Coturnix japonica: one gene and its partner. The protein of the gene in region 2 binds, or shares a complex with, the protein of the main gene of each other region. Links are inferred from orthologs where the notes say so. Each region holds a gene or a part of one and is shown on either strand. Other genes may lie near its edges.

Region 1 (7,259 bases), on a different chromosome or scaffold from region 2:
TGGGGAGGTGGCTGCTGGTAGGTTTCATTCTGTCTGACCACCACATCAGAGCCCTCCTTCCAGCACTGTCACCATCATTCCTCCATCCTGGGGCCCAACAGCTCTTCTTTTTAAGTCTGTACTCACCGTGGCCTTGTTTCACCTGCAGGATGGGAGGAATCCCAGCAGTGAATGGCAAAGGAGAGCGTCTCCTGCTGCACGTGGGAATTATAGATATCCTTCAGTCATACAGGTAGGTGCCTCTGCAGTCATCTGTCCTCTAAGCATGCTCTATCTATTTTAATACTGAATGAAAGCAAGATTTTCCTCTCCTGAAGAGTCTGATGGTGTGTAGGCAGGTTGCCTAAAGCTGTCTGATGTGTGTTGGGAGCTCTGGATTTTTATCTTGTCCTTAGAACAGCTGGTGACACCGAGCTGTTTGCCTAAGGCATAATGAGTTGTTCTTAAAGAAATTCCCCATCACTGTGCCTGGGATGGGCAGCACAGAGCCAGGGAGGGATGGGAGGGTTCCCAAGCAGTCCTGAGCCAGCTGATGGTGTGCTCTGCTGACCTCCTGGCTGGAGCAAAGCTATGCTCTGCATGGAGCGAGGATCAGCAGCTCACTGAGCACTCCTGTGCCTGTCATGGAAGGTGGCTCTGGCACCAAGTCTGTGCCCGAAGCTGAGTCCTTCCTTTTCTCTCTGCTTCTTCCCTGAAATTAGGTTCATCAAGAAGCTGGAACATACCTGGAAGGCCCTTGTCCACGATGGGGTGAGTGCAGGGGGTGCCTTCAGCAGGTTACCTGCCTTGGCTCTCACTGCTTGGTGCCAATTACCTCGCTATTTATAGTCCCTAAAGTGGTACAGTTGAAGCTGATGAAAGGAATAGTTCTTGCCTCTTATGCCTCCGCAGCAGTGTAGTACGACTTATTCCCAGTCAGGTTTTCTTGCACACTCCACCTCCTCACACACTTAGCTGTCATGCTACCAGCTCTCCTCCTCTGCTCCCATCTGTCATTTTCCTCCTCCCTGTGTTAGCAGGAGCTGTGTGTGCAAGGCATGTGCGTTCGTGTGTGTTGAGGAGCATTGCCTTGGCTCTGTTTGGTGATTGACTGCGGTTCCTCTCCAGTAATCTATCTGCTAATAATCCCCTTGCGGTTTCCCTGCTCTCATCTCCAGCAGCAGCGATAGGTGTGTGTTTAAAAAGACCGTCCTCAAGATATAGGAACTGTTTGTCAGCATTGCGCATCCAAGCTTCCCTTCACAAAGTGATGCAGAGGAGAGGGGGGAGATGCCAGGTCACAGCAGCACAGTGACATCAGAAGCAGAGACACCAGGTCCATTAGAAGTATGGAATGTGTGTGGGGACCCTTGGCTGAGTGCTGCTGTCTGTGTGATACGCAGCCATAGCCAGGTGTGCTTTAAATGTCAGAGCAAAGCCAGAGAAAATTTCATGTGTGTAATCAGGTCAATATTTGAAAAATCCAGGAAGTCTCTAAAGGAATAAAATCACCAAAATCCATTATAAAATTACAGCAGGAGCGTAATCAAACGCAATCAAATGAAAGGCAGTGCTTCAGGCTTATTTATAGCATTAATCAGATCATTTCAGTTAAGCCTTTCCATTTTAAGGATCTATCAGTGCTAAATGCTGGAATAGAAAAGATTGCGTCGGCTGCTTTAGAGATTCTGCCTTGAGGAGTAATTGTGAAATGAACCAGCGGTTTCTTCCTTTCCAGGACACGGTGTCAGTTCACAGACCCAGCTTCTATGCAGAGAGATTCTTCAAATTCATGACCAACACGGTGTTCCGAAAGAACTCCTGTAAGCATGTTGTCTGTGAAGTGAGCGGGGCCAGCTCTGCCTATGGAGGAAAGGGTTCCTTTGGAGTGACTTTAGTTGGTGGTAATTCTCTCTTCCACTCTTCTCCTCCAGCCCTGAAGTCATCTCCCTCAAAGAAAGGGCGCAGTGCCTTGCTGGCTGTCAAGACTCCTGGTCCAACAGCTGCGTTCTCAGCCAGCCAGCTCCCCTCTGAGAAGGACGAGACGCAGTACGACCTCCGTGCAGCCAGGAGTTATCCCACCCTTGATGATGAAGGTAATGGCCTGGTTGGTGTCTGCTGGCTGTGATCACCGTCTTTCCTAGCAGAGCTCCCCTGTTCTCATTGAGCTCCCAGCTCTGCACCAAATGCACGCCTTTCTTGTTGGGTGGTTCTTCGTTCCCTGTCTTGCAATGCTTTGCAGGTGCTAAACTTAACCAGGACAGGGGGAAGGTGAGAGTACATTGTTTTGTCGCAGTGTGAGCAGTTGGTGGATTGGGAAGCAACGCCTCTGCATCCCAACCGAGTCCCTTCTTTGCAGCACTGTGTGGTTCTGCAGTAAAAATGGTCGCTTGCGTCACTGCTGCAAGGCAGCTCTGCCAACTGGCACCAGCAGTTGTAGCCCAAATGCAATCAGAAGGTTGGGTTTTCCACCTGTAGAAAAAATGGGACCGAGAACTGCACATCTCTGCTGTTTGAATGGGNTAAGAGAGATCTTGCCATGGGGAGGAGAAAGATGAATGGATCTGATTCTTTGCCTTTGCATCCCTTCCATCTGGGCTGGATTTACAGATGGTTGGTGAAAGGCAGGCTTCTTGAGTGTGTAAGTGTTAGATTTCTACCCGTGCAAAGCAGTGAGCACTCGATTCATCTTTTAATTCACTCGGATATTTATCTCTGTCAAGCCAAGCCTTTAATCCAGCTTTGGTTACCACTGAGATGTCTTCCTTGGCATTACATTTCCAGTAGTGTCTATCTGTCACGCTGGAAATGGTGCCTACTGGCTCTCTCTAGAGGATGCTTTGGGATAAGCTGTTGTTTTCATGAACTTCTTGCCTGTTTGTGCATTCATGTGGGGGAACAGCCTCACATGGGGCCACAGCAGATGAGGAGCTGATGTTTGACCTGCTTATCTTTCTCCCTCCATCTCTCCTGCCCTGCGCTTCGGGCCAGCAGGCAGACCAGACCTGCTCCCCTGCACACCTCCTTCCTTTGAAGAAGCTACCACGGCCTCCATAGCCACAACGCTCTCTTCAACATCTCTCTCTGTTCCTGAGCGATCCCCTTCAGAGACATCAGAGCAGCCTCGGTACAGGTGAGCTCAGTGCCCATCCCCTGCTCGTGCTGCTGCTCCTCTTTGTGCCGCAGCTCTCGACAGCCTGCCCTGTACTCTGCAGTGCTAATGACCGATTTTAATTAAATCTCTCCTGGGAGCAAGCAGACACAGCTTTGATGGGATTAATTATTGCTGGGAGAAGTGTCAGCTGTTAAGTAGAACATCTCCCTCATGGGGTGGGGAGTTAGATTTGGGTGCAGCGTAGGATTTCTGTCTTAAATCCTCCCTCTAACTCTGCTCTCCTGGTTTCTTTCTGCAGGAGACGCACACATTCCTCAGGGCAGGATGGCAGGTGAGAAATGTGCTTCATCCTCACATTTTTCTCACCTCACCTGTGCAAAGGCTGCTTTTCTTGGAGGGCTGAATGTGCCCCTTGATTGCAATTTTAATTACAAGCAGATCTCCCAGAGTTTTGCAAGGAATCTTTAATATCGCCCCTGTTATTTGATGGGAAAGAGGATGACTGGATGTTCCTATCGATGGAAGGTGCAATAGGCAACTTGGTGTTGGTTTGCAGCATCCATAGAAGTGGCAGGGAGCTGTGAAGCTCCTCTCCTCCTGCCAAATCCAGTCTGAGGCTGCTGAAAATCAGAGATTAATGGAAATGAAACTCAAGCACCTGTGTCAGGACCCACTTGGCAAAGTGCCGTGACTTCACCTGAATTGCTCCAGGCTCCCTCACTGTGGGATGTGACTGTTCAGCTGAAAATAGGTCAGATGAACCGTGTCCTAGAGGTGGCAGTTCAGGGAGTTGGGTGACTTGGGCAGAGGTGAATGACTGTCACAGACTTGCCACAACTGCAACCACCCTGTATCTGGGTGACCCTCTGCTTATGTTTTTTTGCCCAGTTTCTCTATTTTTGGTGCTGATGTCTGTATCCTCTCAGCTGAAATGAAGAAGCCCTTCCCCTGTTGATTTAAGTTCAAAACATGGCAGACCTTTGACTCCCCAGATCTGCTGGAGAACTCCCTCTGGGTTTGGGAAATTCATCCCTCTGGCAGCACCATCCCAGCAGCCAGATGGGAGCGGTGCAGCCTGCTGGTTCCAGCCATGGGACAGAGCAGAGCCAGCCAGGGACTGAGCAGAGCTGGCCAGAACCTCTCAGAGACACGGAGACTGTGTCCTTGGCTGGGCAAATGCCAGCTCCTCCTTCCCAGGAGGACTATAGAGGCAGCCCTGCTAACACAAGCAATTACTTTAATAGCAAGAGGTATTAAATTGAAGACTGTCACAAACAGCTCCTGACTCGCAGATAAATAGGATGTTAACCCCGGAGTGAACCTCAGTGCACCAGAGCTGCAGCAGAGGTTGGAGGCTTTGGCTGTTGGGAGGTTGATGGATAACACTGGGATAGATCTGGGCACATGTTTTCCCCAGAGGCCAATTGTCCTTTTTTCTCCTGCGTTCAGGCTGACATCGCCCATCCTTTCTGCAGTGCTGGCTCATGAATCCCTTTCCTCCCAACTCCAGAGTGCTGAAAACCAAAACCTGATGGGACTGACACTCCTGCTGGGAATTTTGGTTACCCAAAACCTCACTCCTGGGAGCTCTGGCTGAGCCTTCCCGTGTTTCTTCTGTTCCCAGGTCACACGAGGAGGTGCGAGTTGAAGAGGAGATCAGTGATCAGCAGATCAGTGTAGAGCTGGAGCCCAAATGTGATGTTGAGATCGTAGCTCCTGAAGAAGACAAGGAGTAAGTATCTGGGGGTGTTTGGCAGAGTCCTGCCCAGCTCCTTTTTTGTCCATGGCAGCTCATGCTGATTTTGTGAGGCATCAGCTCCCCTGGGCAGGTGGTTTCCTTCCCTGATCCTTCTGGGTGTTAATGCAGAGCATCCTCTGCAGTTCCTCTGGGATTAATCACCCAGTCTTGCTCGCTCCCCTCCTTCTGCCCTCACTGACCAGATGCTGTTGTTTCTTCCCCCTTCCAGAGAAGCAGCTTCTTCAGCCTGTGCCATTGTCATGTCCACAGCTACAATAGAGGTGGAGACGGCCAGTCAGGCCTCCGAACCAGCCAGCCAGGCCTCGGATGAAGATGACGTGCCAGTCACAGACATATACTTTGTAAGATACCCTCTGCCCGGCCCCTTAGGGATGGAACAGGGATGTGTGGATGAGGCTGTGATCTGTTTCAGGCTGTGGGGTGTGTGGGGCAGCGTCTGCCCTACACTGTGCTGAGCACCTTCACATCTTAGTGCTGGGCAGGGTTTGAACGCAGGGAATAACCCTTGGAGAACTCAGAACAGCACCTGGTGATGCTGAAGCATGCGGTGCCACTATGATGTAGTCATAGGTGTGCTGCTCTATTTGGTGCTGAAGGTCTTATCTAGGCCAGTGTGTTGCTCCTGGGACAAGCCAAGGTGAAAGTGGGTGCTGCAGGGCCCCCCCCATCCTGGGCCCTGAGCACAGACACGCTGTAATGGAGTGGAGGTGGTTGTGGTGGGGCTGACGTGGGGCTCTTGTGAACTCTGGCTTTTCCTCTCCCTGCAGGCAGATGCATTAGGTGGTGCAGTGGAAGTCTAGTACTGAGACAGGGAGTAAGTGAGGTGGTTGCTGTTGGCAGCAGAGTGCCGTGGAGCCTGGGGCTGTGTTCCTCAGCCAGTTTCCACAACGTCTGAGCAGCTTCTGCAGAATGGAGAGGAGTTTTTAGGAGCGTGTGCCTGCTCTGTGGATTCCCAGAGTGGAGCTGAGGGTTTGACCCATGGCAGCTCTCCCCCATGTCCTGGCACTGGAACCTTTCCATTAAAAGAGGTGCTCTGCTCCGACTTGCATGGCGATGGAGATGAGCTGTGCCCTGTGAGCTCCTTCAGGCTACCCTGAAAATGGCAACATTTGGCTCTCCCTCTGCTCATGTGGCTCTGCTGCAGAGCTGCTCACTCGTTGCCGAGTCATTTGGAGGCTCGTGGGAGCTGCAGAAGGAATCAGTTTTACAAGCTTGTCTGTTTGGGTTTTTGTGCATGCTGTTCCAAATGCAAACAGCTCCCTCTAACACTGGCTGCTCTTTCTTTGCCTGTGGATGGCAGCTGTGTCCAGGCTGCCTGCAGATACTGCCTGTTCCACTGGCAAATGTCTCCTAGCGAGGGGTGGCTCCCTTCCTCCCTGCCCATGGGCACGTGGACTCCCCCCAGCTTCCACGGGGCTCTTCTCTAACCAGAAGAAACCATTTGTGTGCAGTGTGTGCTCACAGAGAGCCTGACTGACTCATCAGCATCCCATACTTCATCCGAGTCCTTGAGTTTTGCATTAAGTGTGTGTCGTGTGCTGTGGAGTGTTTGTCACTGCTGGGATGAAGGGAAAAGCTGATCTGGGTTTCCCACTGGCAGTGATAGTGGCTTTTTTGTTGGTTTTTCTGCTGGAAAACCGCTGGAGCTGGAGCTCAACCGAGGCTGCACCCAAATGCAGCAAGGCTCGGACCCCAGCTGCCCCTGCAAGCCGGCCCCAGGAGCAATGATGGGTGGAAGGAAGCAACGTGCAGAGGATGATTCGTCAAATCCTGGGGGCCCATGGTCTGCTTCTTGAAATCAGCTGCCGAAAGAAGAGCACTTTATGCCCCTGCTCGCTCTCAGGGGAATAAAGGTGCAGGGATTTGCCAGGCACGGGCAGTGCTACCCCCACGCATGGCTTTCCTGCCTGCTGATCCGTTCAGGCCTGGAGTTGTCCAGCCCCTTGGTTTATTTTTTTGCTTTCTCTTCCATCCTGTCCTTCACATCATCTTTCTGTTGTTTCTTTGTTTGTTTTCCCCTCTGTTTCCTTTCCCACCTCACTTACCCTGGGGCCATGCAGTTCACAGATGGGAGGTACTGGATTTACTCTCCCCGCCAGCGCAGACTCCGAACCACCTCGCTTTCCTCCAGGACTGTAAGTGACCATGGTAGCTCATAGCAGAGCTGCAGCTTTGAAACACTGGAGTCAGCAGCTCCATTGCCCAGGGTTGCCACGGTTCTGTCCTCTGTGACCACTGTGACTCAGCCCAGTAGAAACAGGGAATGCAGATCAAAGCTGCCCAAATCTGTCTCTCATGGGATCTGACAGAAGTGAAGACTCAGTCCCACTTCTCTGCATCAGGCATTGTGCATGGGGAAGCAGGGACAGGTGGTGCTCCTGAGCTTGGCTGCTGGGATGAGGAGGC
Region 2 (7,032 bases):
CCAGGACTGGAGGGAGCCAAACACTGACTCCCCCGTCCCATCCCATTGCTGCATCACAGCACCAGCGCTGCCCCGTGATTAAACCACCCCAGGGCCATCATCCCCAGCAGGAGGGTACCTTCAATGGGACAGCATTGCTGGGTGACTCAGGGCACGCAGGCTGCCTTGCTCCTTCTTTCTTCTCAAAATAAACTGTATTCCACAGGCAAAAAAAAAAAAAAAAAAAAAAAAAACCCTTCTGATCCCAGCTCCTCCAAAAATACCCCATGCTTGAATACCGCTCGTAAATGCTTCTGGTGCATTCCCAGCTGCAGGGTGAGCTGGAGGATGGGGGGGTTGGAGAGGATGGGGTGGGATGGGATGGATGAGGTTAGGGGCTGTATGAGCTCCCAGCCTGTCGCTTTGCAGCCACATCCAGCAATGGGGCGTGCACCCAACTTTTGGCACAGGGGCACAGTGAGAGTGGTTGGAGGTGAGAGCTGGAGAAAAATGGCTTTATAGGAGCAAGACAAAGATGGATGGATGGCTCTGTGGGAGATGCTTAAGCGCAGAGCAGCCCAATGGACTCAGAGGTGATGAGCACAGTGTGAGCAGCTGGGGGAGCTTCCTGCAAGCCCCCCAAGGGATGCAGTTCCCCCTCACCACACTCCTATTTTCCTCATGGCCACATCCCGCAGGGGCACCCTGTGGCATCCAGGCCCTCCTGTCCATGGCTTCGTCCTCAAAGCCAAAGTGCAGGAAAAGGGATTCTGTGATGGGTACTCTTCTCCAGTGCACTCCTGAGGATGGCACTTCCTTGGTTGTCACCTCTGCCCTGTCCCAGTGTTCCCCAATGATCCAGGCTACAGGTCCTCTGCCCACCCCAAATTTGGGGCCGTGGTGGGGCTGCTGGGCACCTTGTGATTGACATATCCCAAACACCACTTGTGCCTGCTAGAACCTGCATGCAAAAATAGCCCCTCCAATCCCAGCTGAAAGATTTACGGGGTCAGGGCTCCAGCCACGCTGAATGCTGCCCTGCGTCCCTCCAACGTGTATTTACAGCTGGCAACTGTGACCCACCCTTTGCCTGGGAGATGTAGCTGGGGGTCCCCACTGCTGAAGCCCCTGCCCTGGGCGGTGGAGCTGGGCCATGCCCATGTCTGGTACCTGGTGCTGGGTCAGGCAGTGCAGATTGTCAAGGGACAGCTGGCACGGCTGAGATTCCTGTGGGAGGCACAAATCCACCCTGGAGCTGGGCCATGGGACAGTGTCCCAAGGGGGACAGTGGCCCCTCTGCACCTCGACACCCCATGATGCTGCAGGACACTGCAGTGCTGTGGTGGATGGAGACCCCAAAGGCCAGCCCAAGGGACACAGCTGAGAACTGTAGAGTTGTGACATGCCTTGCAGTGCAGCTCAGCATCCAGGCTGCTTGTTGATGCTGGCCCTGCAGCATGGGTAGTTGGGGTGCAGGGAAAGAGGTATCCCCACTGCATCCCACTGCATCCCTCATGCCCCCAGGCTCAGCTGAGTGACGGGAAGGGGTGGCAGCAGGTGGGGAAGGGGCCACGCTGGGGCAGCCAGGGTGACTATTTCAAGGCCTGAGCTCAGCCCAGGCAGCCAGAGGGGCTCCAGCCGCATTCCTGACTGCTGCCCCACTGGGGGGGTCAATGCATAGGGGGTGCCCCACCTGCACCCCCTCCCACTGCCCTGCCTAGGGATATTTTTGGCTGCCTGCAGGAATGGGGCCAGGAGCGCAGAGCCTCAGGGGCAGGTGCTACACTGGAGCTCAGCCGGCCCCCAAATCCCCCTGCAACAAAATCCCCCCCTGCCCTGGGTAGCACCTGCGAAGCTGCCAACGGGGGTCTGGGCTGCCGGGTGCCGCTTTGGACATGCCTCAAATAGTTTCCGTGCTGTATAAGTGCTCGTGGCGCTTTCCCCCCACAAGGAGGGCTGGCAGCCCCATGCTGCCCGCAGTGGGGTCTGAAGCAACCCTCCCCCCCAGAGCCCTGCTCCTTGGGGGCACCCGAAGTTGGGGGTCCCTGCACTCCCCCATGGACACGTGCTCCAAGCAAGCAGGAAAACCACTTTTATTGATGAAAGCGTCTTTCCAAAGAGCCATCCACATTCCCTCCACCCCGGAGCTTCGGGGGGAGGTGGTTTCCTTCCATGTGTAATATGGGATGCTCAAAGTATCAAAATAGTGAGAGAAGCCTCAGCGAGTGCAAAGGGGAGGGAGGGAGGTCCCGGAGCCAGGGAGGGATGGGGAGCTGTGGGCTCCGGGCCTCCAGGCAGGCACTGGGCTCCGGGCATTAGTGGGGGTGATGTGAGCAAGGGGATAAATGAACTCAGAAAGCTGAAGGCTCAATACTACAGAAATTTAAAAGTTATAAAAAATACTGAAGATCTCAGAAAACAACGCAGGCACTTGGGAAGGAGGAGGAAGGCAGAGCTGGCTGGGAGGCAATAAGGTGGGAACAGCAGCTCCTGGGGCGAAGCCACAGCACCAGCCCCAAACAGAGGCACTGAGGAGGGTGTGCGGTGCCTCCCAGGCGGCTGCTGCTGCGGAGTGCAGGGGCGTTCAGCCAGCAGTAAGGCATAAAGGTGAAAAGAGGCTCTGTGCGAGGCACAAGGGAAGGTGCAGAGATGATCCCCAAACAAGGGCAAGGCACAGGCCTCACCCGCTCCCACCTGGAGGAGGGAGAAGAAAGAAGCAAGAGAGAGGATAAGAAGGCACGAGGAAAGTCCTGAAAGGCGTGAAGGGCCAGGCCCCAGGCAGCAGGGAGCCTTGGGCCCCAGGGGCACATTGAGCTGCCCCAGGACAGGCTCCCAGCCCGGTGTGCTGCGTGGAGAGGTGCGATGGGTGGCGAAGCAGCGGCGCAGGTGCAGCACCTGCACGGTGTCTGGGTTAGTCCTGGTGCACCGGTGCGGGCCGAGGCAGCCCAGCGTTATTGGAGGTGGGGTGTCTTAAATAGGAGCTGGAGGCAGCAGTCTGTGCAGTGAGTGGAGGGAGGGCTCTGCCTGGGCGCGGGGCTCAGTTCTGCTCCTCGTCCCGCAGCTCGGTGGGCAGGAACTTGTACTGCTGCTGCCGGATCATGGCCAGCTTCTTGCGTGCCTCCTCCAGCTCCCGCTCCTTGCGCAGCATCTCCTCCTGGGCGGCGATGATCTGCAGAGAGAGTGGCAAGATGCTTTGTCCACCCATGGTATGAACATCTTGCTCTGCATCCTTCCACCACAGCCACAACTACAGCTAAGCACCCCCTGTGGTCACATCACAGTGCTCAGGAGATACGGCCCACAGTATCCTGCAGGCAGGTCCCACGTGCAGCAGGTAAAGCTGGGACCTGTGCCTTGTCATATAGGGTTGCGCCTGTCCCTTGAACAGCATTCTACCCTTCACACACCCTGTGGCCACTGGGTTGGTGCAGGTATTACACTAAAAGCACCAGCAAATGTTCACTGGCTGTGCCCACTGCTACAAACAGTAGGAAGAATATCAAGCCCTGCTGTGTGGAATGGGAGCCACTTCCCAGCCTGCAGTGCTGTGTGATGACAATATGGCCTTGGGGGCAGCCAGAGCCACCCTGTCCTATGGAAGCAGCCCCACTCCTCACCTGTGCAATTCCTCCCACCATCTTCTCCTTCACCACCACCGTCTCATCATGGTCCTGGAAGGCGGCTGCCTTCTGCGCTGCCTTCACCAGATTGTCTGATGCTCTCTTCACAGCATTGCCAGCAGCCTGGAGTGGGGGAAAAAACGGGAGGCATTACACTCAGCCCAGGGTACAACTGCTGCCCTGGGGGGGAACCCCTGTCCCAGATGGGCTGGTGTGCAGAAGAGGCAGCTGGAAGAAGGGGGGCTGCCAGCAGAGCTCCCTGCTCATGGCTCGCTGCCACCGCGACTGCTCATGACCATTTCAGGCGCTGCTGCTCCTGACTGAGCCCATGGGCTCCCTCACTCTGCTCCCACGTGAACAGCAGGGCAGGGACAGTCCCATCCCAGCCTCTGGCCCAAGGTGACACCTCTGAGGTCCCACTGGGATCCCTCCTGCAGCACGTGGGCATTCACTTCTGCCCCGTGGCCACGGAGATGGCACCATCAAAACATGTCCCTAAGCTTTAATGCCAGGGATCTGGTGCATACATTTCAGGCATTCCCAAGTCAGGCCATCAGCCGTGAATACCCCCAGGCTCTGCAACCCCAGCCTGGTGGATGGGAGCCCAGGAATACATGTGCATGCAATTGAAGTCCAAGCTACATGGAGCCAGTGTCCAAATGAACCACCAAGAGCAGTGCCACAGCCCCATCCCATGATCCTAGATGCCTCCCTGCTCTCACCCACCCCTCAAGCACCCAAGGGAATGTTCAGGAACCTGGAGGAGGCAGCTGGGGCTAAAGGGACTCACCTGGAGCCTCTTCATAGCCTCTGAGTCATGGTCAGCCTTCACCTTGCAGGCCACCAGCAGCTGTGCTGTGGAGGCAGCCACCTGCTTGGCTGATGAGATCAGCTTCTCCTCACTGGCATGGCCCTGCACTGCTGCATTGGCAGCTTCGCACAGGTTGTTGGTGGCAGCAGCCACCATGCGTGCCTGCAACAAGAGAGGGTGTCAGAGGGCTGGAAGAGAGGGTCCCAAGGAGGACGTGGTGCATAGGATGGGGTCAATTGGCTTCCATGCCAAACCCCATATGGTGGGAGAGGAAGTCAGCAGTGGGGCTGCCTCTTTTAGAGAGCGGAAGCATAAGGGCAGAGAGCATCTTGCCCAACATTAGATGTCCCCTGCCCCCATGTTTCCTTGATACTCACAGCGGAAATAAGTCCCTGGGACCACTGTCCATCATCCACTGCATTGGCCGGGATGACTCCCACCTGTGAAGCAGGACAGGGTGAATAAGGCACAGGAACAGTCCTTGGAGAAGGAAGAGAACCCACCACAGCTCCAGATTCACCTTCCCTCCCTGTGAAAGCTCTGTATCTTTATGACTTCAACTCTCTTCCCTCCCAGTCTTACCTTTCCTTGGGCCACCAATTCTCGCTGGGCTGCTGAGGCTGCTTTCACCAAGGCGCTTGTGGCTGCAGCAATTGATTTGGCTGCTTCCAAGATCTGTTCTTCAAAATCCAGAGTCTCATCTGCTTGCTGTAGGCAAAAATGAGCACATTAATCCTATACAGGAAGGCAGAGAAGGTGGCAGGAGGCTGCTGGGGAGGTGAGGTGGGGCTCAGTACCCCACACAACCTTTGGCTTGGCTCTTGGTTTCAGCTGCTCTAACTTCTTTGCCGCAGCTTCAATTGATGCTGCAGCTCCCAGCAATTCATTCTCAGCGATGACTGTGGGATCTTCTGGGTCAACCCACTCCGTCCCTACAGAAAAGGGAACCAAGAGAAATTAAACCCATGCACAGCTTGATTTCCCAATGACCCTACCCCCTCCCATCAGCTACTGAAGCCCAGGTGCCAGACCAGAGGTGGATGTAGCTGTGGTGCTCACCTTTCATGGCTTCAGCTGCCTGGATGAGTTCAGTGACAGAGCTGGCCACCCGCTTGGAGTACCCAGCCAGCTGCTGCTTCAGCTCATGGGTCGGCTTCTGCAGGATCTGTGAGAGAGCAGCAGTGAGCATGTTATGGAAACTGAAGAAGGGGGTGGTCCCTACCTGGCAGCTCCTTGCCCCCAGAGTTTGCCTGCTTGGTAAAAGTTCTATTTGGGGCTCAGACACCCTCATTTCAGGCTATTGTGAGTGCCATCACAAAGCAATCAGACCGCATAGGTCTATTTGAGGTGTTCCCCTAGAGAAGGAGAGGGGAAAACCCCACCCTGTATGTGTGAACTGGTCATTGTTTGTCATCCTGTCTGCAGCAGTGCTGGTGAGCCTCCTCCTGCACAGGGACAGGATGCTCTTCTTGGCTGTGTCGAGTCCACAGCTTCTGGGACATTACACAGCACCAGATTCTAAGCTTGAGCCCTTCCACCACTCAGTGGCTGTCTCCTTGGATCTTCTCCCCACCCCAAAGCACTCCAAGCTCCTGAACCTATCCCTCCCTTGCTGTCCCCCCTCTCAGAAACTCATCTGCAAACACAAGCAGGGCAGGGGAGGATGTGGAGCAAGGTCTCAGTCCCTGCAGGACATACATCCCCTTTCTAGGAGACACCCTGCAGAGGGTGCCCTGCAGAGGCATGCACACACCACGGCACACTGGAGGCCACACATCAGCTCGAGCAGGAGTGAGTACAGGCATGGACCATGGGGTCCTGCTCCAAACCACACAGGCACAGCGTCACCGCTGGGCTGGGCAGGCGGACATGCCGCCAACAAGGCTCATGCAGAGGTTAGACACTGGCAAGCACACCAAGTGTCACCTTACTCACCGGCTGCACAGGAGGATGGAGAGGAGAGAGAAGAAGGCAAATGAATGCCCTGGCAGAGACACATGGGTAACGGGGTACGTGAAGGAAAGGGTGAAAGATGGAGAAGCGAGAAGGAAGGTTCAGAGGCTTCCTGAAAGCTGCCATTACCACTTCATATTTTAGCCCCATCACATTTTCTGATGGCTGAACACAAAGGCTGCAGGGCTGGAGAGACCACCCATGCCCAGCAGCACCTTACTTCTTCCCGCTCTTAACTGCCTGTCTGCAGTTTTCAGCCTGAATTTCTCTGCTTTTAGTGGCAGAGACCTATTGTTACCAAATACCACATCCCTAAGGAGGTTCAAATTCCTTCCCCTCCCTGGTGAAATATGCTGCTTGCTTACTCTTCTGCTGGGAGCCACGTTTTCCATCCCAAGCTAAATAACTCTCTTTCTTGAACTACAACCACTCCTGTTCACACTCTGCAAGGCGTTGGCTCCCAAAGGGACCAACCCAGCACACATACAGCAAGTCTTGCTGTATCCCGTTTGTATCAGGCGGTATCCTGCCCATAACCTCCCATTCCACACCCCTCTGTATGGGGAGGGACCAGCACTACGCTCTGCCCTGTCAGCACCTCCGCATGCCTTCTGCTCACTGCTTTCCAGGAACCTGCTGCCTCCCCACCAACATGACCCTGCACACACA

The links. The genes of interacting proteins can lie anywhere in the genome.
Region 1: the proteins of TLN1 (region 2) and PIP5K1C are in contact, whole or in part, in a crystal structure (PDB 1Y19), measured with the Mus musculus proteins. The link is inferred for Coturnix japonica from reciprocal best matches to the Homo sapiens genes TLN1 and PIP5K1C. Residues at the interface, in NP_035732.2 of Mus musculus: Pro209, Val210, Gln211, Leu212, Leu214; in NP_032870.2 of Mus musculus: Pro646, Leu647, His648, Tyr649, Ser650, Ala651.

Annotation. Positions count from the first base shown.
Region 1 is NC_029543.1:459,887-467,145, forward strand, and holds part of PIP5K1C (phosphatidylinositol 4-phosphate 5-kinase type-1 gamma), read left to right. Parts: intron 1-148; coding exon 149-232; intron 233-701; coding exon 702-750; intron 751-1,717; coding exon 1,718-1,802; intron 1,803-1,913; coding exon 1,914-2,075; intron 2,076-2,970; coding exon 2,971-3,112; intron 3,113-3,392; coding exon 3,393-3,425; intron 3,426-4,718; coding exon 4,719-4,826; intron 4,827-5,061; coding exon 5,062-5,194; intron 5,195-5,620; coding exon of another isoform or gene 5,621-5,653; exon of another isoform or gene 5,654-6,492; intron 6,493-6,913; coding exon 6,914-6,988; intron 6,989-7,259. UniProt on the Homo sapiens protein: Catalyzes the phosphorylation of phosphatidylinositol 4-phosphate (PtdIns(4)P/PI4P) to form phosphatidylinositol 4,5-bisphosphate (PtdIns(4,5)P2/PIP2), a lipid second messenger that regulates several cellular processes such as signal transduction, vesicle trafficking, actin cytoskeleton dynamics, cell adhesion, and cell motility.
Region 2 is NC_029547.1:8,452,794-8,459,825, reverse strand, and holds the end of TLN1 (talin-1), read right to left. Parts: intron 5,576-7,032; coding exon 5,470-5,575; intron 5,343-5,469; coding exon 5,218-5,342; intron 5,119-5,217; coding exon 4,993-5,118; intron 4,851-4,992; coding exon 4,788-4,850; intron 4,573-4,787; coding exon 4,390-4,572; intron 3,723-4,389; coding exon 3,597-3,722; intron 3,149-3,596; coding exon 3,017-3,148; 3' UTR 2,347-3,016; downstream 1-2,346. UniProt on the Homo sapiens protein: High molecular weight cytoskeletal protein concentrated at regions of cell-matrix and cell-cell contacts. Involved in connections of major cytoskeletal structures to the plasma membrane.